4 linked regions of the Caenorhabditis elegans genome follow. The protein of the gene in region 3 purifies or fractionates together with the protein of the main gene of each other region. This does not show direct contact. Each region holds a gene or a part of one and is shown on either strand. Other genes may lie near its edges. The genes, in order: nduc-2, bli-1, dpy-11 and mtch-1.

Region 1 (4,881 bases), on a different chromosome or scaffold from region 3:
AGATTGCGAACCAATCTCAAAAGATTGCTATGTCATCTCAAAATATTACGAATTTTTCGTAATATTTTCAGATTCAGAAATATTGCGAATCAACCTCAAAATATTGCGAATTATTCTCAAAAGATTGCTCAATCTAAAAAGATTTCGAATAAGTCTCGGAATATTGCGATTTTATCTTGAAATATCACCCAACTACAAAAATATTGCTATTTAATATTTTCATATTAGATTTGAGTTGCCTGAGAAAATCAGTGAAAAAAACCACCGAACTGAAAACGAAAAACCCTTGAATTTGGGTCCAGAATTCAGCGCGAGCTTCTGTTTTCGAACGTCTTCAAGGAAATTTTGAATTGTTTTAGTTTGCCGGTTACTCGTCGAGAACGCCAGAAATTCTTCTGAAAAATTGAAGAAAATTATCGATTTTGTTTGTTTGAGGCGGGGAAATTTCTTACGAAGCCGGTCGATTTTCTGCGAATCGACGGATTTTTTCGCTTCCAAATCCGATTTAATTTCCGCCATTAAATTATCGATTTGTGCTCCTTCAGATTTCGATAAACATTCTTCAGTTTGCACTTTTCGTTCTTCATTTCTTTGTTCCAGTTTTGCAATTAATCGATCTTTTCGATCCAATAAAATTTGTTCCGAAGATGCTTCCATTATGCTGAAATCTGGCGTTTTTTTGCGCGATTTTTGTGGCAAAAAACTGGTCTCGCCACGACAATTTTGAGTTTTTTTTTAAATTTTTGATCGATTTTTCATAGTTTTTTTTTCAGATTTTATAGAAATTTATGTGTTTTTATTCTAGTTTCGTTAAAAAAATATGCAAAAATTCTCATAAAATGTGAGAAAAACTATAAAAAATCAATAAAAACCACCGGAACAAAAGTTTAAAACTACAGTACTTTTTAAAGGCGCATCCCTCTTCGCATTTAACACAAATTGTCGCGTCGAGACCCAGGATATAGTATAGTATTTTTGCCCCAAAATTGCTTCTGGGTTAATTAGTTATATTCAAAACGGCTCAAAAGACCAGATGGATGCTGAAAAATGAAAAAAATGAGAATTTTCCGGGAAAAAAATCAATAATTCTTCATTTAATTTACAATAATGAACTAAAAAGAGACTTCGAGAGAATTGTTCAGTCGTATCTGGTGTACTGGGTTCTGCGTGGATACCATGGAAGAAGAACTTGAGAGAATGAACGTCCACTGCCTGAAAAATAAATAGATTCCATGAATTTTTGATGATTTTCTTGCATTTTTCACTAGAAAATCTTCCGTTTTCCCAGAAATTTTGAATTTTTTAGCCAGAATTCCCTTTTTTTCGCACTAATTTCCAAAATAATTACTTAGAATTGCGAAAAAAAAACTGAATTCTAGTCCAAAATTCAAGTTTTCTGTGATGTGTCGATTTACGCAGCTCGTGTACTCCTCGAGGAGAAGATTAAGCTGAAATGCGCCATTTTCACTATTTTTTTTCTGAATTTAACATAAAAATCGGTGATTTATAGTATTTTACATGAACAATGACGAATTTACTGTTAAAAAATACGAAAAAACCGATAATTTGTAGTTTTCCATGGTGTTTTAGGCTAAAATCGGTTTTTCACGCCAATTTTTGCTATTTTTAAGATAAAAATCATTGATTTGGGTGTTTGAATGCAAAAATTGGTCCGAAATCGAGCATTTTAGCCAAATCTTCTCCTTTTCAGCGTTTTTTTTTCGGGGAAAATGTATATATTTTCTGCATTTATCACAGAAAATCGCGAAAAATACGGTATTCTCTGGGGGGAAAAAGCCGAAATCTTTCAAATTTGATCGAATTCAGCCGGGTTTTTTTTTCGAAATTGCAGTAAAATCTGAAAATCGATTTTTCAGCAAATTCCAAAACTCACGATCATTAAAATGGTCGAAATCCTCTGGATGAAGCTTCATGTAGTGCTCGATGACTGCGTCTCTCGTCTGATAGTGTCTCTCTCGAAGTGCTCCGGCAGCGTATCCGGCGGCGGTGGCGGCTCCGATGAGCAAAAGCCGTGGAACAATTGCGTAGTAGTACGGCTTCTTGTTCCATCGATTTTGCAAATAAACCGAAGCCAGCGAGATTCCGAGCATTGCACTGGCACCCTTCAATGGGTAGCTCCATGTGAATGGATCGGCCAGGTGACGAGCTCTGTGTCCTGCGCGAATAAAGGTCTCGCGGCGCTCGATTTCCTTCTCGCTGACGCGAGTTGAGTCAGCCATGGTTTCCACTGAGAAAATTATTTATTTGGGGGAAATATGATTTTTAAAAAAAATGAGATATTTCAAGCGTCTCATAACGCCATAAGAAATAAAAGTGTTTAAAATATTTTACAAGTGACACTTTTTATCGAATATCAGCACTAATAAAACGCCTGTTCTCGAATACAATCGAACAATCTCATTTAGCGATCGAATTTAGCTGGGAAACGTCCCTCGGAAAGAAGCTCGTCCCATCTCTCGGTCCAGAATCCGGGGCAGAAGTCCTTGTAGACATTTTGGAAGAACTTGCACGGCTTGTAGTCCTGTCCCATGAGCTCATTGCAACGATGGAAATCGACGTAGTAGGCGAAGCATTGACGTTGCTTACGGACCTGAAAACTTGTACATTTTTATTATTAATTAATATATAATAAATTTTAAATAAAGTTACCAACCTGTGGGAATCTGGCGTCGTATGGAGCAGCCCAGAGAAGATCCTTCTTCACAGACTCGTGGGTCTCCTTCTTGTACCAGTCTGGCGAGTCTGGATGACGGAGAGCATCGGAGAACTTCTCCTGTAAATTTTTATCGATAAAAATGAAGAAAAACGCTAAAAATTCACCTTGTATTGCTGGAGTCTCTCGTAAGTGGTTGGGGGAACCTCAACTTCGACAGGCATTACTGAAATTGAATATAATTGAAATTTAAACACGGGCGGTTATTTTCAAAGCTCAGAAATCCGTGAAAACCGAATTAAACAATATTTAAAATCAATAAAAATTTTTCACTAAAGACGCTGCGCGAGCCACACACTCCTATACACCTCTCACGCACAAAACGCTCCACAATGGGGTTTTGCGTTGGAGCGCACTTGCTGCATTATTTTTTTACATAACAAAGTTCTAGAAATCAAAACAAATAGATTTTTTTCCAGAAAAATGGCTGAAAACTCGTATAAACCGCCGGAAAAGATGATTAAAAATGTGTTCGACCTGAATCCGTGGTACTTTTCCAAGGTAGAACAGAAATTTTATCGATTTGAAGGATTATGAATGGAAATTTGCAGGCTTACGAGGAGTACCTGGCTTTCTTGCATCGTTTGAATGATTCTGTAGTTGGAGTTCATACAACTGCAGACATGAGATGCACAGACTTGGTTATCAGCTTTATCGACATGCTGGATAAGCTGGAGGTTCGAGAAATTACGGAAAATTACGAAAAACCAGATTTAAAAAAATAAAAAATGGATTTTTTTCAGAAATGGGCTGAGGAAATTCCTCTGGAAGATGTTTCCGAGCAAAGATTTGGCAATAAAGCTTACAGAAAGTTTTATGAGAAGCTTTGCAAGGTTTTTAGCTCAAAAATGTATTTAAAAAGATTTTAAAAATTCCAGGAATCCCCAGATCTCCTAGCCAGCGTTCTTCCGGAAAACGTCCACGATGCTCTAGTCGAACTGGTTCCATATTTCACAGAATCCTTCGGAAACGCCACTCGAATCGATTACGGCTCGGGACACGAGGCGAATTTCCTAATTTTGCTGTTTTGCCTGCAAAAGTTGGGCGTTTTCACAGAAAATGATGACAAAGTGCTCGTTCTTCGCATTTTTAACAAGTATTTGAGAGTGTGCCGTCATCTGCAGACCAGATTCAAGATGGAGCCGGCTGGAAGTCGTGGAGTTCATGCGATTGACGATTTTCAGTTCGCGCCGTTCATTTTTGGAAGCGCTCAGCTTATTGGTAATATGTTGGAGCAACTAGAAGTCTTGAAATTCAGGAAAATAGCTGAATTTTCCATTAAAAACTCAAAAATTCTCAAGAAACCACAATTATTAAGTCGTTTTCCGAAGAAAAACCGACTTATTTTCACAGATTGTCGGAAAATTCTATCTAAAATGTCTTTTTTCACAGTATTTGTTCAAAAAACGTTCATTTTTCAAGGATTTTTCATTCGAAATCATGCATTTTTCCGTTTTTTCGTTGAAAATCATCAAATTTCACGATTTTTGTCGAAAAATCACAAATTTTTGCGATTTTTTTTAAATAAAAAATCAACAATTTTCCCGATTTTTCATTAAAAAATCATCACATTTTTGCGATTTTTGCCAAAAAATCATAAATTTTGGCAATTTTCCTTTAAAAATCATAAGTTTTCACAATTTTTCATTGAAAAATCCTCAATTTCTCCGTTAAAAATCATCAATTTTCGCGATTTTCCTATTAAAAATCCGGGAAAAATCGTTTAAAATCTTCAATCTACAACATTTCCTCGTAGGAAAACTTCAAAAAAAGCTAGTTTTCACTAAATTTCCTGTGAAACTTAAAAAAGGCACCGAAAATGACAAAAAAAAATTTTTCTACAATTTTTCTAGAAAACCCCGCTTAAAAGCATATTTCTGTGAAAATTTCAGAAAAAAAATTATAAAATTTTACTAGAAAATCACCTAAAAATCTAGTTTTCTACCAATAAATTACAAAAAAAAAAACTTTTGAATTTCCAAAGCTTATATAGGCCTGAAATATGTTGAAAAATGCCAAAAAATAGCCAAAAATCCGCTCCAAAATCTTAAATTGTTTCGATTTTCAGGTTCAAAAAGTATCGTGCCGGACAGTTACCTAAAAAAGAATATTGTTGAGACTCACGCCCACACAAGTCTTTTCCTGGA
Region 2 (5,355 bases), on a different chromosome or scaffold from region 3:
AACTTTTCAAAATACTCAAAAAAATATTGTGTGGTTTTCCGAGCGAAAAGACAAAAAATCGGGAAAAGATTTTAACCGACCAAGGAAATTTTCGATTTTCTAAATAACCAAATTTTTATTTAAAAAATGCCGTAATAACATTATTGATAGGAGATTCAATATTCATGCTATGGTTTTAAAAATTTTGGATTTTCGGATTTTTGAGCACTTGAAAAACTAAAATTTCCTTTTTTGTTGATATTCTGGAAAACTGAAAATCGAAAAATTAATTATTTTGGTCCCGAGAAAAACTGAAAAATGCCTAGCCCTAATTTAATTTTAATTCCCATCTTTCCAGATATACCTCGGCCGGGAAATCCCTTCATGTCTTCGCAACAATCAGCCCACCGACCTTATCTTCTGCGGTTTTCCCAACTCTCCGCTTCTTCCGATTTGGCTTCTCTCGTATCCAAGTTGTAGTACAGTGTCGCATTTCAATCCAATTAATAAAACAATTCAACATGAAAGGTACGATTTATTAACATTCTTTCATTATTATGGCAAGTGGGGGAAGGGGTGAAAATAAATAAAAAATCAACAATAAGTTAGACTAGAAGTTTTTTTTAGTTATTAAACTAGAAACTTCTCATAATAGTGGTTCCTGTAAAAGCGATTTCTCCTTCTGTATGGAATTTGTTCTGATGGTAGTGGGTTTTCGTTGGAAAAAGCTCTTTTCTCGGATGACTGGAAGTTGTCATGTACAGGTGGAACTGGCTTTTCTTCTGCAGAGGATTCAGGTTTTACTTGTTGCATTGGTACGGAAGTTTCAACTGCAATTGAATTTAATTTAATGATAATTTCCGCATAACAATTCTACCTGGAACTTGTCCTCCATGCTCTCTCGAATTCCTGAGTTCCTGGCTCTTTCTATGCTCTTCCCATTGTTTTTCTTGGAACTTATTAGGCTTCTTGTGGTGTTTTTCCTGCAATTTATAGTTCTTTTATAGAAATAATCATCACAATATCACTTACCATTGCTCTTTCTTTATCCTCTTCTGGTTTTGAAATATCCTCATACTCTGGCTGATTCTTCTTTCTTTTATCTCCATTATATTTCTCAGTTTGTTGCACAGGTGGCATTGCTTCTTCTGAGTAAGTTCTTCCTGTTTCCCTTGGATTTTCCTCAGATTTTGGTCTTCCAAATCCTGGAGGATGTGTCTCTTTCCGTGGAACTTCTTCATAGCGTGGCTCAGCTTCCGTTTCATATCGTCTTGGCTCCTCTTGTCTTGGCTTCGAATCCTCATAAGATGGCTGACGACGATCGTATCCTCTTTCTGGGTGTCTGATGATCTCAACCTTCTTCAGCGGGCGACTTCTTGATGGAGCATCAGTTTCGTATCTTGGCTCATCAACTGGTCGACTTTCCATATATTTTGGCTGCTCTTTCCTGTCATCACCTCCATATCCAGATGAATGTTCATAACCTTGCCTTGGTCTTGGAGCTTCTGGCACATATTCTCTTGATCTTTCAACTTCATAATTTCCTCTGTTTTGTGGTGGTGGTGGTCTTCTGACATATGGTTGCTCTTCTGGGTACAACTCGTGTGGAGTTTGTCGGTGTGGTGGTGGCGGTCTCTTTGGTGGTGGTTCTCTAACTCTCTCTTCGTCTTCATAACGATCCTGTCGTGGTGGAGCAACTTCTGCTGAAGGTTCGTAGTTTGGTCTTCTTTGATGTTCGGCTCCAGAATTTTCATCATAGGTATTAGTACGAACAGTCTGTCTTGGTCTTGGCTCTTCGGCGCGTTCTGAATCGTATCCTCTTGGTCTATGTTCCTCTAGGCCTCTCTTCTCATCATCATTGTATGCATCATTAAAATCAAACTTCGAAGATCGCTTTGGACATGGACAATAACCGCCGTCTGTTCCTGGTGCTCCCGGAGCAGACACTCCTGGTTGGCCATCTGGCCCTGATGTTCCGTCTCTTCCTGGCGGGCCTTGAATTCCTGGGCTTCCGTCTTGTCCATGCTCACCATCAGTTCCAGGATCTCCGTCTCTTCCTGGTACACCCATTACTCCTGGCTGACCTGGAGGTCCTGGAATTGACTTGCATGATTGGCCGTTTCTTCCAGGTAGTCCAGGCTTTCCAGGTGTTCCCGGAGAACCATTCATTCCATGATATCCAGGTGCCCCTGGTGCTCCTGGTTGACCATCTTGTCCGTTCACTCCTTGCTCGCCATCAATACCATCTTCTCCTGGCACTCCTGGTGTACCGTCTGGTCCGCGTTCTCCAGGTGGTCCAATTGGGCACTGTACACAGCCAATTACTGGATCATAAGAAGATGGTTGAACACCAGAATAACCACCATTGAGACCTCGAAGCCCACGTGGCCCATCTTGTCCTGGGAATCCTGGAGGCCCTGGTCTACCACGAGGTCCTGGAGGTCCTGATGGGCAATGATTCGGCTGAGCAGAACATTGATCACATGGATTGCCTCTTGGTCTAGTTCCTGGACGAGGTCTCTGAGGTCCAAATCCAGGGTGTGAACCCCTTTTTCCTGTGGGATATTGAGCAGATGGATTATACGGAGTGGTTGCCTCAATATGTCCATCTGATGTTGGAGGCACTGGTCTCGATGGTTGACGGGTATTAGTTGGATTTGGTGGATTTCGAGTTTGAGTCGGTGGAACTCTTTGTTGTCCTGGAACTGGTGGCGCTGTTGGTACTTGATCCTCTGGATACCCTGGACCATGATTGTTCGGACGACGAGTATTGTAAATTCTAGGCGATGACGGTGGAGTCTGCCCATCTGAATCGTATCCGCCAGAAGGTTGACGAGGTGGTGGAGTGTTTGGTGATCTTGTTGGCTTATATGGCGCGCGGTTGTCTTCAGGATACGTTGGTTGCCGAGTATAGTTTGGCTGAGGTGGATTGTACGGTACACGAGGATTTGTTGGATATCCAGTTTTTGGAGGTGGCTGTGGATTGTACAATGATGTTCTGTTATTCGGACTGCTGTGCGGAGCTGATGTACTGGGAGGCTGTTGAGGTGGATACGGTCTTCTAGAAGACGCCGGCTCTCTACCGTAATTGTCATAGTTTGATCCATGTGGTGGTCTGTAGGTGGATGTCGCAGCTGGAGGAGGTGCACGGAAACCTGAAATAATTATCCTTAAATTTATACTAAAACTTTTATGTGTACCTTGGATAGTTCTGGGCATGGTCGGTGGTTCTGGTTTTCTAGGTCTTGAAGATGGTGGTCCATTATCATTCACAAAATCGTAACCAGATTCATCTTCTGCAGCTTCGGTAGTTGTGGCAGCAGTTGAAGTGGTTGTTGAAGGTGTTGTGGTTTCAGATTGATAAGGGCCTTCAGGCTCATAGGATCTCTTCTCACGATCGTTGTCTTCGGCTTCTCTCATTTCCTCTGGTGTCAATTCGAAAACCATTTCTTCCCAGATATTGTTTGCGATATCCTATAATTTTAAAATAATTTCAATTATGTCTAGAACAATAACTCACCTTGAATTCTACCAACTCTTCCTGTGCTTCACTGTAAAAGTCAGAAATATCGTTTAAAATATACACTGTAGAAATCACAGCTCCTATTGCCAGCAGCAGACAAGCAATCGCCGCTAGTCCAGCCAAAGTGTAGGACTTAACCATGATGAGGTTAGATCACACTACTCTCCGAGACTGCGGAGAGTTGTGTGGAAGACTCTGAAGAAGCGGAGAATGAGTACTGATTGAGAACAAAGCGAAAACGGAACGAGGTAATGCTTATAAACGGAACGATGACGACGACGACATGCTATATCATAACCTTAACGACATTCAACTGACTGCCTATAATCATTCGGGACGATGATTTTACTTGAATCATTAAAACGAAACCTACAAGACCGGATTGGGTGGTTTTAGTCTATAGATCTTAGGGTCCAGTCACCGCAGTCTATATGAATGTCAGAAAGGTGTCAGAAGGATGTCTGGATAAGGATCGCTGAATTTGAGAGACGAGCGGCTAACGACGGAGTAGCGTTGTGGATAAAATAGCGGTTATCTCGAGATCCCACTCGTTGCTTTTTCATGATTCCTCCTCCTCCTTCGACCACACCGGGACTGCTTTTTCTGCGGTTTTCTTGACCTGCATCTTACCGTTCTCGATTCGCAGAGTTTTTATGAACGCGTCGAGGTGATAGCGATAATTCAGATATGCGACGACTTGATTATCTTCTCCTATCTTTTCATCAATGTCCGTGCCGCCGCTGACACCAGAATACTAAAAAAAACCATGCGCCGCGTTCGATTTGCTTAGCGAAAGTGATGAGTGAAAGGGAAATAAGAAATCGACGATTATTTGAAAGGGCTCGTGTTGCAAGATCAAATTACAGATAATGAAAATGAGTTTATTCGACAAAAATCTATCAGGAATTTCTACTTTGGTAGGATATATTGCTTTATGCTTGAACGTGACGTCTGGCAGCAACGACGCGCTTTCTGGCGACAACACGCTTCTTGGCGACAACGCGCTTCTTGGCAACAGCACGGTGACGGTTGACAGCAACATTACGGTGACGGAAAACTGCGGCACTGCGAGCTGGGCATGGACAATAAGCGGCGTCAGATCCTGGGGCTCCATCGTTTCCTGGGGCTCCTGGTTGTCCGTCTTGTCCTGGGTGTCCTGGTTGTCCGTTTGGTCCTGGTGGTCCTGGTGGTCCGGCTGGTCCTGGAGTGCTTCCGCTTCCTGGTTGTCCTGGGGCTCCTGGTGGTCCTTGTGGTCCTGGACGTCCGGATGGTCCTGGGAGTCCGCGGGAACGCTGTCCAGATTGTCCTGGGCGTCCTGGGTTTCCTGGGGCTCCGGCTTGTCCTGGAGATCCAGCGTCTCCAGCTGGTCCTGGTGGTCCTGGTGGTCCTTGGCCTCCTCCGTGGGCTGGTGCTCCTGGGTTTCCGTTTGGTCCTTGTGGTCCTGGGTTTCCTGGTGCTCCGGCTGGTCCTGGTGCTCCTTGTGGGCACTTGATGCACTCTTGCTGTTGGTGGTGAGCTGGTCCAGCAACTCCTGGTTGTCCTGGCTTTCCGGCTGGTCCTGGTTGTCCGTCAAGTCCTCTGTCTCCAGAAGCTCCTGGTGGTCCTGGTGGTCCGGCTGGGCAGTTGGAGGCTTGTGGTCCGCAGTTGCATTGGGATTGTTTTTTTTGGCGACGAACGAAGACGCTACGGGCAACACGGGCAGAATCATCATGATTAACCATCGAGTTCCAGGCATCATTAGCAACTCCCTAGAAAAATGAATGCTTTTGAAACAAAGTATTTTTATGGTACTTACTCTGAAAGCTCCGAGCTCACGATGAGCCTCATCAACGAAGGAGTTGATGTCGGTGTAG
Region 3 (5,276 bases):
GAGCTCCAGGATTGTGCTCTTCCAACCCTTTTCAGCGTTGTTGCTGTCACTGATGAAAAGTCGGCCTTCACCGGTATCGACTACGCTTTCTTGGTCGGAGCCATGCCAAGACGCGAGGGAATGGAGCGCAAAGATCTTCTTGCTGCCAACGTCAAGATCTTCAAGTCACAAGGAAAGGCTCTTGCTGAGTATGCCAAGCCAACCACCAAGGTGAGATCAGAATTCACAGTTAAACTTTCAATATTTCCATTACTTTCAGGTTATCGTTGTTGGAAACCCAGCCAACACCAATGCATTCATTGCTGCCAAGTACGCCGCCGGAAAGATCCCAGCCAAGAACTTCTCTGCCATGACCAGATTGGACCATAACCGTGCTCTTGCTCAACTCGCCCTTAAAACCGGAACAACCATCGGAAATGTCAAGAACGTTATCATCTGGGGAAATCACTCTGGAACTCAATTCCCAGATGTCACCCACGCTACCGTTAACAAGAACGGAACTGAGACCGACGCTTACGCCGCTGTCGGAGACAACGCTTTCCTTCAAGGACCATTCATCGCCACTGTCCAAAAGCGTGGAGGAGTCATCATTGAGAAGAGAAAGCTCTCGTCTGCAATGTCTGCCGCTAAGGCCGCTTGTGATCACATCCACGACTGGCATTTCGGAACCAAGGCTGTAAGTTTAATTATTTTAAAACTTGAATGAAGATTTTATTTTCCAGGGGCAATTCGTCTCCATGGCTGTCCCATCCGATGGTTCATACGGAATCCCACAAGGACTCATTTTCTCATTCCCAGTTACCATCGAGGGTGGCGAATGGAAGATTGTTCAAGGTCTTAGCTTCGACGATTTTGCCAAGGGAAAGATCGCTGCTACCACCAAGGAACTCGAGGAGGAGAGAGATGATGCTCTAAAGGCTTGCGATGATGCCAACATCTAAATTTTCCCCATAAATTATAACGATTTCCCAACCGCTCCCTTAAACTTAAAATGTAAAAAAAGAAGTAGGCCGTCTTGTCGTTTTTGTAAATGTATTATGTATTCAGTTATTGAACAATGAATTTATTGCATCTTCGGATCGAATTGTTTCAATCTATCTTTCGAAATAACTTGTGACTCGTTTCTGATTTCGTATATCTGTTTATTTCTGGAAGCTAGCAATCAATCTGCCAACGTGGAGGATATGGGTTTGCAAGAATAAAGAAGAAGACAAATCATCTGTACAGAAAGCAGGTTCTAGGCGAGAGAATCGCGAGAAGTAGCGAAATGAGGGTACGAGGAAGAGGCGGTGTGTTGACCATTCATTCCAGCAATCCTTATTCCTTCCGTGTTGGATAACGACCTGTCCCCAGGCGTTTCTATGGCTTTTTCCTCCCATTTTGATCGTTGAAACAGAGATGTTTGCTTTTTTAGAATTAAATTTATGCAACTTTTTAGACTGTGCACTTAAATAGAAGATCTAGAAATAATTAAACGAATTTTAAATGCATAGTCGCAGTAGTAATAGTAAATTGACTAAAGAAAATCATTTTTTAATTTTTAAACAATTTTTAATGAAAGTTTATCTCTGAATCTTTTGAATATCCCTTGTGTAAATTTGTACTTGACCAATTGTTCCAAATTTGTAAATATCAGTTTTTGCAGAAGCAACTACTTTTCGTTGAAAAAATTCACTTTTAAAATAGTGAGACTAGGTGAAAATGTTGTGAATTTTGGCATTTATAGCTACCACGATCGTGGCGAGACCCACTCAGATTAACAGCGTGTGCCTTTAAGTGACTTTTGACTTTTTCCCTAAATTACGATATTAAAAAACTTCCCATGCTTTTTTTTTCATTTTTTAAAATCAAAATTTGCCACAATAGTAGGATTGGAATTTATTCCATGTTTGAGGCTTCTCTAAAAACAAATTTCTAAATAATTTAGAGTTTTGTTTTAATCTTTTCTTTCTCCTATTTCACTTCTTAAATCTCATTTTCTTATCTTGGCAAAGTAACCTAATAGTCAAATCGATTGGCTTGTTGATCTTCACCATAATTTGACCCAAATCAGCTCGCCGCGTCGGTTTTTTTTAATTGACCGATTAGTCGCTATCACAGACGCTATTCATTAATAAACGTCAGCAGGAAGACCTAGTAATCTAGTTATCCACTTCACAACTCGATCAATAATTGCGGATCGGCGTGTTTCAACGAATACGGGAAGACAAGAGAGAGATAAGTTGTTTTTAGTGTGTGTGTATGGGTGAGTGTACGACAGTACCTACATACTGGAGGGGGAATATCCTTGACCCTTTGAGCGCGGACGATGCGACTTCCACCTTCTTTTTAATACATGCTCTGGATACAAGATATCTACCCATTTTTGTTTCTTTTTCTTTGTAGAAATTAATTATTGATCTGTAACTGTGAGGGCAGCAAAAATATTATAAGCCGATTATTTTTTCGCAATTCCAAAATGGACAATATGACTTGCATAATTTGATTACTGAAAAAAAGTGGGCCTTTATAATTTCGACATGAGCATTAACGCTCATATTTTCTGTTAGACAAACAATCTGTGGGTATTTGGTATTTGCAAATAAATATATTTGCATTGGCATTACAGAATCATACTATTTCCCCGCTATTCTGCAAGTTGTGTACAGGCTCAGTTGGTCTACTCTTGATGTTTTGATAGTTGTCTCTTTTTGGTTTTTTTCCTGTAGAAGATGGCTAGTAATACGTGGCTTAAGAACAAGATGAAACCGGTAGCCTTCTTTTTTCTCTTTTCGAACTGCAAAACGAACTGCGGCGACGGCGATAATGTGTGTGCGTGTCTGCCGACCGTACACCCCGCCGCCGAGATATATCCCTTCACTCCGACCGACGTCTTCCTCTTGTGTCTTCTCTTCACACCATAGGCGCTGCTTTTCGTTTTCAATCTTCCGCTTTCTATGTTTCTCTACATTCCTTCAATTCTTCATCATCCTTCCTGGTCACTCTATGACATCTATAAAACAAGTCAATTCCAGAATGCTGCTCCGATTGCTCGCCGTGCTCGGACTTTTCGCCGTTGGAGTCTCGGGGGGACCTACCAGATCTTCCAAGCTCGTCTTTCTCAATGAGGAAAACTGGACAGATCTTATGAAGGGAGAGTGGATGATTGAATTGTAAGTTGTTTCATTGAAAGCTCCAATTTGGAACAATGTATATAGTTTGTACTTGGTAGAATTAACTACTAAGGTTCTCAAGCATACACTTTAAAAACATTTTAATTAGTTACAAAACTACAAAATTGATAACTGATAAATTTTTAAAAATCCGCCGAGATGAAAATCTCAATTAAATTCCATCTTACTAGTACCTATGATATGAAAAGATATAGAGTAGAATCTTTTCATAATTTGAATTCACTGTTGGTTATTAGAATCTTTCTAAATAGCTATAGAAGAGTTAGGTCTAGATCATTTGAAAAAAATAACTTTTAAAATTCCAGCCATGCTCCATGGTGCCCAGCTTGCAAGGATCTTCAAAAAGCATGGAACGCATTCGCCGACTGGTCTGATGATCTTGGAATCAAGGTTGGAGAAGTCGATGTTACCGTCAATCCAGGACTTTCCGGTAGATTCCTTGTCACAGCTCTCCCAACAATTTATCAGTGAGTTTTTGAAAGCTATTTATTTCTACAAAAATCGAACGTTTTTTTTTTCAGCGTCAAGGATGGTGTCTTCCGTCAATATTCTGGAGCTCGTGACAAGAATGACTTCATTTCATTCGTCGAGGATAAGAAATACCGTGTGATCGACCCAGTTCCAGACTACAAGCATCCAAACTCTAAGCAGTACGCTTTTTTGTGGCACAGCAAAAATAATATTATAATTTTTTTCAGAATGGCCGTCGTTGCCGTCTTCTTCAAACTTTCGATGTCGGTTCGTGACTTGCACAACCATCTCGTCGAAGATAAGGGAATCCCATCATGGGCCAGCTACGGACTCTTCGCCGGAGTTACTCTTGCTCTCGGATGTGTTCTTGGATTCGTGAGTTTTTTAAATAGAAATTTCTGTAAACATCGTGATTTCCAGTTCATCGTTATCATCATCGACCAAGTATTCCCTACTGGACCAAGAAAAAGCCAACAAGCCAAGAAAACCGAGAAGAAAGACGCAAAGAAAGGTACTTTAAAATATTCGGATTCTGATTTCTAAAAATTTATTTATTTTCAGATTCTGGAACTGAATCTCCGACAAAGAAAAATGGAAATAACAATAATGGCAAAGAAACGAAGAAGACCAAGTAAATTCTATGCAACTTCCAAAAACCCCAATTGTTTTACCTTTTGTGCATCTTGTTATTTTATTTCAAATTATAATTTAAAAACTTCAAAATGTTTCATATTTATCCCAAACCAGCAGTCTCTGCCCCAAGTTTTTGAATTTTAAAAAATTTGTTAATTATAAGTATTGCCGTCCCCCAAGATATATATAAGTCACTTCTTCCTATGGGTTCCCGTCTTTTTTGTCTCTTTTGTTTTCACCAATGCTTCTCTCCTTCTGCGCATTTCATTTCGGACTCTGCAACGACGACACGTAATTAAAGCGACATCTCTTGCTGCGAGAGCCAGTCGGTGCTGGTCGAGTGTGTGTTCGCTTTGGCGTCGTCACGCCTTCTTTCCCTGCTGCTTTTCGCTCCTCATTCAATGCATTGATCCGTTTGTCCGTTTTTTTGTCCTCTGCTTTCTCTCAAATATTTCACTTTTTACGAAAAAAGTTGTTAATAAATCATAATTCAATTAAAACCTTTTTTGATAATTCAGAAATATATTAGCGCATTGGGTATTCACAATATTATGCTATTGATTGGCTTTTTTGAGCAGACCCGTAAACAACTATTGTTCGAGAAAAATTCTTTGCATTTATTTTTCATAGGAAGATTTTCATAAACAGATTTTATTACTGAATATTTTCTTCAGAACCAAAAAAACTGTCTAAATATGGCCGCTCCATGGACTCCGCTCGAATCGAATCCAAGTGTCATCAATCCGGTTCGTTGTCTCGGTGGCGTCGTCGCCAGTACACGCACACAATCTAATTTAATTCTTCCTCCGTTTTTAGATGATCGAAAAAATGGGAGTGAGTGGCGTGAAGACTGTCGATGTGTTGTTCTTTGATGACGAGTCAATCGGAAAACCTCAGCACGCAGTTATCCTATGCTTCCCGGAATACAAAAAGGTATTTTTTGTGACAAAATTTGAGATATTACGAGCATGACAAAGAAAATTTAGGTTGACGAGATTA
Region 4 (5,094 bases), on a different chromosome or scaffold from region 3:
GGAGAAGAGTCACTTTTAGACAGCGAAGAAGATTTTGATTTTACATCCTCACCCCACTAGCTAATCAGTTGCCTTATCTGAAAACAAAATTTGAAAAAGATTACACTCAAAATAAAAAAACAGCGTGGCGTGTACTGCAGAAAACCTCATATTTAGGCCCCGCCTTTTTCTCGTCCACTCACGGACGAAAAGGCAAAAATTTGGCTCAAGCTAAGACTGTTTCTGATCACAAAATGTACAACTTCATGCCCATCCCAATTTCAAAACATCAAAAAATTTCAAAGTAAGCTCACGTGATCGGACTTTGCTTTCAAGACGTAGCCAAAAAGAAGAAACCAAAGAAGGGGAAAAGAGGCGACATATTTACTATCAGTGAGTTTTCAAAGCTTCATATCTCCAAAACCCCTGTGTTATCGTATTACAAAACACAATGTTGCAGTTGCGAAATTGAGAACAAGAAAGTTCTAGCACATTCTAGAACTCCTTTGAATTTTCGAGAAGTTTCCAGAGCATTTTTACTTAGAAAATTTGAATTTTCCTCCAGTTTGTGATTATGTCTCAAAATGGACATGGCCAGTGGGATTCTTCTTGCCAAAGATCTACTATGTAGAAACATAAAACAGCGCTTCATATCTAGTAAAATGATGATACAAGATCATATATTTTTCAGAATGCCGATATGAGATTTCCAACGAACACTCGTTCGAAGTTCATAGTCAAGGTGAAATGGGTCCAGAAATAGAACGGAAGTCGCATTTAGCGTATCAAGTCGCTCGTTTCGAAGCAGTTGCTATGGGCTTCCCGGTGCAATATAGACAAGTTGTTGTCGAATTCTACTATCATGGCCGATTGGATGGATCATCGGGTACCCTGGCGACTGCGGTTGGGTTGTTGGCTCTCTTCACAGGAGTTGAGATATCACCCCGTTTTGCCATCACGGGTTCTCTTGATGTTTTCGGTTGGCCCCCATATTGTTGCCTTTTCTCCGTGAGTGGACGAGAAAAAGGCGGGGCCTAAATATGAGGTTTTCTGCAGTACACGCCACGCAGTTTTTTTTATTTTGAGTGTAGTTTGTTTACAAAAAAAAACTATAAAATTTTAAATTGTAGATTTAACTTCATCATAGGATAACGCTAAAGCTAATAAATTACGGGACACATGTTGAAATTTAAATCGAAAATCTAAAGTACGGGTTTGGATTAAAGGAACATTTTAGTTCTATGAGATTTGAGTCTAAAACAACCGATGATTGGTATATGAAAAGGGATTAGCAAAACTCGAAAAATACATTATAGCGAAGATTGGATGAAGTTGGGGACGAAAATCTTATGCAAAGTAAGAGTTGCTAGCGTAAAGTTGTTGATCCACGCCGACAGTGACAGCTCCCACTTGTTCACGAAGGAACAGGCGGTTTCCACGCTTGAGACCAATTGGGCGAAGGTAGTCCCATGCTCCATGCCAGTTGTTGAAGGATGGTGAATATGGGAGGAACGAAACGGCTAGTCCTGAAATAATCTTTTATTTTAAAAGATACTGTTATTCGCATGCTTACCTGATCCAGCAACAGCCATAACAGTGGATACAACACTGTATGGGTAGCCGAAGGAGTTGACGAGGAATGGAACAGCAGTATGGATGAACTTGTGAACATCCTTGGCAGCCTTGGCTTTCGTTTCGTCCTTATTCTTTGTGTCTCCAAATTCAATGCGGAGAATAGCTCTTTGAATTCCGTGAGTAATTAGATGAACTCCCCAAATGACGAGAAGCTCTCCAACGATCTGAGGAGCAAGTCCGCTGAAAAGTCCTCCTGGACCTTCCTGCTTTCCGATGACGGCCAGAGCCTGGGCGCAGGTAGTGTATTTAGTTTCATTGCCAATAACTTGAGCAACTTGACGAGCAAAGCAGACTGGAAGAGATTATTATACAGTTTAATCGCAAATAATTTAACTTACCAGCAAATGGTCGTGCAGCAGTAACAGCAACAACACGAATGACAGAATCGCGGAATCCGTTACGAATAACTCTTCGGAATGATTCAGCATCGGTGAGTTCATCCTCTTCTTTATCTTGATTTAAAAGAGGTCCTCCAATATTGGGGTAGTACTCGTCGATGTACTGTAAGATAATTTTTTACGGTTTTCAGGAACTTTCAATGAGAAAACTGTTTACCTGCTGAGTGCGGTGAGAAGCAATACCCTGAACAGCCAAAGCAGCGATAGCAGAGTCGATTCCAGTCCAAAGGGTGATATATCCACGAGTAGTTCCCAATTGCTTCACTAAATTTATGATCATTACCGAAGATTATTTTCGTGAATCCTACTATAGCTGAAGAAGTTAGGAAGGAAATACGCATTTCTTCCTGCAATGACGAGAGTCTTTCCTGTAGACAATGGGAACGGTTCATGACCAAGCTGGATAAGGGTACGTGTCACGGTCAAAGGAAGCGACAACGAGCTCAAAGCGAGCTTGGCAATAAGACTCTTGGCGAATTTCTCCTGTAAAACTGAATTTCAAATCTATTTCAATAAGACTAAACTCTCATCTTCTGGAGCAAGCCCAAGGAAAGCGTCTTGTTGATTTCCTTCAGCCATGATTCACTGAAAATAATTAATTTAATAACAAATGAAAATACAAACTAATATTTTGGGTTAACTATAGTTATATTCATAAAAAATAGCAATCAGACATTAAATGAGAAAAATCGAAGATAAAAAAAATGAGCGGATAAACAATAAACATTCGCCGCACAAAAAAGTGGGCGGAGACTGAAACGCAATGTGTGCGCACGTTATCTCACTCCTCTTTCTGTGTAAGAATTGCAGAATTTTTTGTCTTAAAAACAATTTTCTGATAGTTGAATAAATTTCCGTCAGTTTTATTGTTTTTCACTTAAATCTCACTGTCACTGATCTAAAAAATATTTTTAGAAAATGTCTTCCGGTGGAGGAAATCAAAAGTCAGATGGACAAGTCGAGGAAGATGCCGCTGAATGCAAATTTCCGAAAGGTATTGTTTTGTTTTTACTGAGTTTTTGAATTTGGTGATTTTTCCTAATCGGTATATTTTCAGAATTCGAAACAACAACATGCGACGCTCTTCTGACCGCTGAGGTTTACTTGCTTCTGGAGCATCGTCGTCAATCGAGTGAAAGCAAAGACGAAATTGAAGAGATGAGCGAGGTAGTCTCAAAACTATTTCAGTCGATTAAATTTATTGATTTATAATATCATTTTTATATTAAACGAATTCAGGTCTTCATCAAAACTCTCAACTACGCTCGCCGCATGTCTCGATTCAAAAATCGCGAAACTATCCGTGCAGTTCGAGCGATTTTCTCCGAGAAGCATCTTCACAAATTCGAAGTTGCGCAGATTGCCAATCTCTGCCCTGAAAATGCCGAAGAAGCCAAAGCACTAGTTCCTTCTTTGGAAAACAAAATCGAGGAGTCTGAACTAGAGGAAGTTCTCAAGGATCTGCAATCCAAAAGAACATTCCAATAAATACAAGCAAACTAATCCCATATTTATCTGTATTCTCAAGTTACTGTAATTGTCCTATGAGATCTCTCATAATGTGTTATTTGATACAATGAAATGAAATTTTGGAAATGTTTATTAATGTTTTTCAAATAATTTGTTCAATCGAAAATGAATACTGGTTTCATATTGTTTTTTTTTGTTGAAAAAATCACACTATTGAACCAGATGGTGCAGAAATTGAGCAGACCGTCTCCAGATTTTCTCAAAGGCCTTAAGAGCATTGTGAGTTTATTTTTCACATTATTTGTTAATGTACTAGAATTTTTCAGTTGCAAGGCGATCATCCTTCTCTCAAGCAGCTCGAACAAGATATAAATATATTTTATATGAATCAAAGACAGGTAGGATGGGAAACTGGTTAATTTTTACCAATTGTAGAGATTTCGCATGTTTATAATTTGAATCCAAATTTTCAGAGCCAATCAATGTTGGAGGAACGAAAGCTTTATGTGGCGTTGGTTCGAAAATACCTGAAATCCGAAGGAGTTACCAAACAACTCGCTTCGCAAGGAATCAAATTGCGTGGACTTAGCGTTTTTGGAAGTTTCCCGACGCACTGTGCCTCGAAAGACAGCGATCTTGATCTGTGTGTGTGTGCGACGGCAACAGGAAATAAAAAACAGTAAGTCGTTTTGCAGCCTTACTTTTGACGATTTATAATAACTTTTGCAGACTGCCGGTAATCATTCTTCAAGCCATTTTTCGAGACATGATGTACAGTAAGGAAGGGCAGAACATTTTTGGAGAGAATGTCGTCAGCGGAATTTCGTTTGTGCAAACGGCAAAGGTTCCGATCATCCGATTCAAAATCAACGATGTGCCAGTTGATTTGAGTGCAACATTCGATGATAATCCTCGAACAAGTCTCGCCGCAAAGTATATCAATGCTTACTGCCAGTAAGATTAATTTCTGGAAATAACACTTATTGAACTAATTTATTCAGACTCGATGATCGCTTCAAAATTCTCGTGATGTTTTTGAAAAAATGGATGAAATCAGAAGGGAGAGCTGAAGATCATTTGCGAATTTACCCCAACTCGTAATTTCTAACCTGCAAAAAGTCAGAGCAAAGTCACCATTTCTTTCAGATACTCGATTATTCTTCTGCTCATTCATGTTTTGCAATGGTATGATATTCTACCGAATCTTCACCAGACCCACAGTGATCTTTTTCATCGCGGCAATTTCAAATTGTCGGACTTGGCGGAACTACGTCACGAGTTCAAATTTCCTCTTGATGAAAACAGTTCGTGATAAAATGATCAATTGAAATAATTGGAATTTAATTTATTTCAGCTATTTCAATGCATAGAAAGAGACCATCGAATGATCTCACTGTTGTTCAGCTTCTCTACCTTTTCGCTTGTCAATACTCCAACCATGTGGTATTGCTGAATTATCGATTCAATATGCGAAATGGTGAAATTGAAGCTCTATCTCAAAAGTGAGTCGTCGTTTTTCAAACTCAAAATAACAAAAAATTGTTGCAGGGATCAAGACTATCAGATCACTATTCTCGACGCCTACGATGTGCGAAATCCAGGAAGAAGTGCG

The links.
Region 1: the proteins of dpy-11 (region 3) and nduc-2 fractionate together in Caenorhabditis elegans (co-fractionation; one large-scale study listed by BioGRID). This does not show direct contact.
Region 2: the proteins of dpy-11 (region 3) and bli-1 fractionate together in Caenorhabditis elegans (co-fractionation; one large-scale study listed by BioGRID). This does not show direct contact.
Region 4: the proteins of dpy-11 (region 3) and mtch-1 fractionate together in Caenorhabditis elegans (co-fractionation; one large-scale study listed by BioGRID). This does not show direct contact.

The regions. Positions count from the first base shown.
Region 1 is NC_003281.10:2,784,221-2,789,101, reverse strand, and holds nduc-2 (NADH dehydrogenase [ubiquinone] 1 subunit C2), read right to left. Parts: upstream 2,251-4,881; 5' UTR 2,241-2,250; coding exon 1,895-2,240; intron 1,213-1,894; coding exon 1,139-1,212; 3' UTR 1,074-1,138; downstream 1-1,073. Other genes in the region: tbcc-1 (C-CAP/cofactor C-like domain-containing protein), read right to left, coding at 271-395, 453-657; cox-6B (Cytochrome oxidase c subunit VIb), read right to left, coding at 2,423-2,611, 2,675-2,794, 2,842-2,898; Y71H2AM.20 (Serine/threonine-protein phosphatase 2A activator), read left to right, coding at 3,158-3,235, 3,286-3,411, 3,478-3,567, 3,613-3,955, 4,803-4,881.
Region 2 is NC_003280.10:10,707,302-10,712,656, reverse strand, and holds bli-1 (Cuticle collagen bli-1), read right to left. Parts: upstream 3,698-5,355; 5' UTR 3,644-3,697; coding exon 3,500-3,643; intron 3,454-3,499; coding exon 3,180-3,453; intron 3,135-3,179; coding exon 1,012-3,134; intron 963-1,011; coding exon 857-962; intron 810-856; coding exon 610-809; 3' UTR 508-609; downstream 1-507. Other genes in the region: col-80 (Putative cuticle collagen 80), read right to left, coding at 4,435-5,250, 5,298-5,355; dph-2 (2-(3-amino-3-carboxypropyl)histidine synthase subunit 2), read left to right, coding at 338-507.
Region 3 is NC_003283.11:6,511,085-6,516,360, reverse strand, and holds dpy-11 (Thioredoxin-related transmembrane protein 1), read left to right. Parts: upstream 1-3,014; 5' UTR 3,015-3,015; coding exon 3,016-3,152; intron 3,153-3,478; coding exon 3,479-3,640; intron 3,641-3,694; coding exon 3,695-3,823; intron 3,824-3,871; coding exon 3,872-4,019; intron 4,020-4,064; coding exon 4,065-4,155; intron 4,156-4,205; coding exon 4,206-4,279; 3' UTR 4,280-4,776; downstream 4,777-5,276. Other genes in the region: mdh-1 (Malate dehydrogenase, cytoplasmic), read left to right, coding at 1-210, 260-676, 723-941; ubh-1 (Ubiquitin carboxyl-terminal hydrolase), read left to right, coding at 4,973-5,023, 5,094-5,210, 5,264-5,276.
Region 4 is NC_003280.10:7,371,576-7,376,669, forward strand, and holds mtch-1 (Mitochondrial carrier), read right to left. Parts: upstream 2,592-5,094; coding exon 2,542-2,591; intron 2,497-2,541; coding exon 2,321-2,496; intron 2,277-2,320; coding exon 2,170-2,276; intron 2,116-2,169; coding exon 1,953-2,115; intron 1,907-1,952; coding exon 1,553-1,906; intron 1,506-1,552; coding exon 1,327-1,505; 3' UTR 1,040-1,326; downstream 1-1,039. Other genes in the region: rpb-4 (RNA polymerase Rpb4/RPC9 core domain-containing protein), read left to right, coding at 2,931-3,006, 3,070-3,179, 3,252-3,500; F43E2.1 (Poly(A) RNA polymerase mitochondrial-like central palm domain-containing protein), read left to right, coding at 3,705-3,761, 3,809-3,880, 3,956-4,161, 4,212-4,436, 4,484-4,579, 4,629-4,786, 4,837-4,984, 5,031-5,094.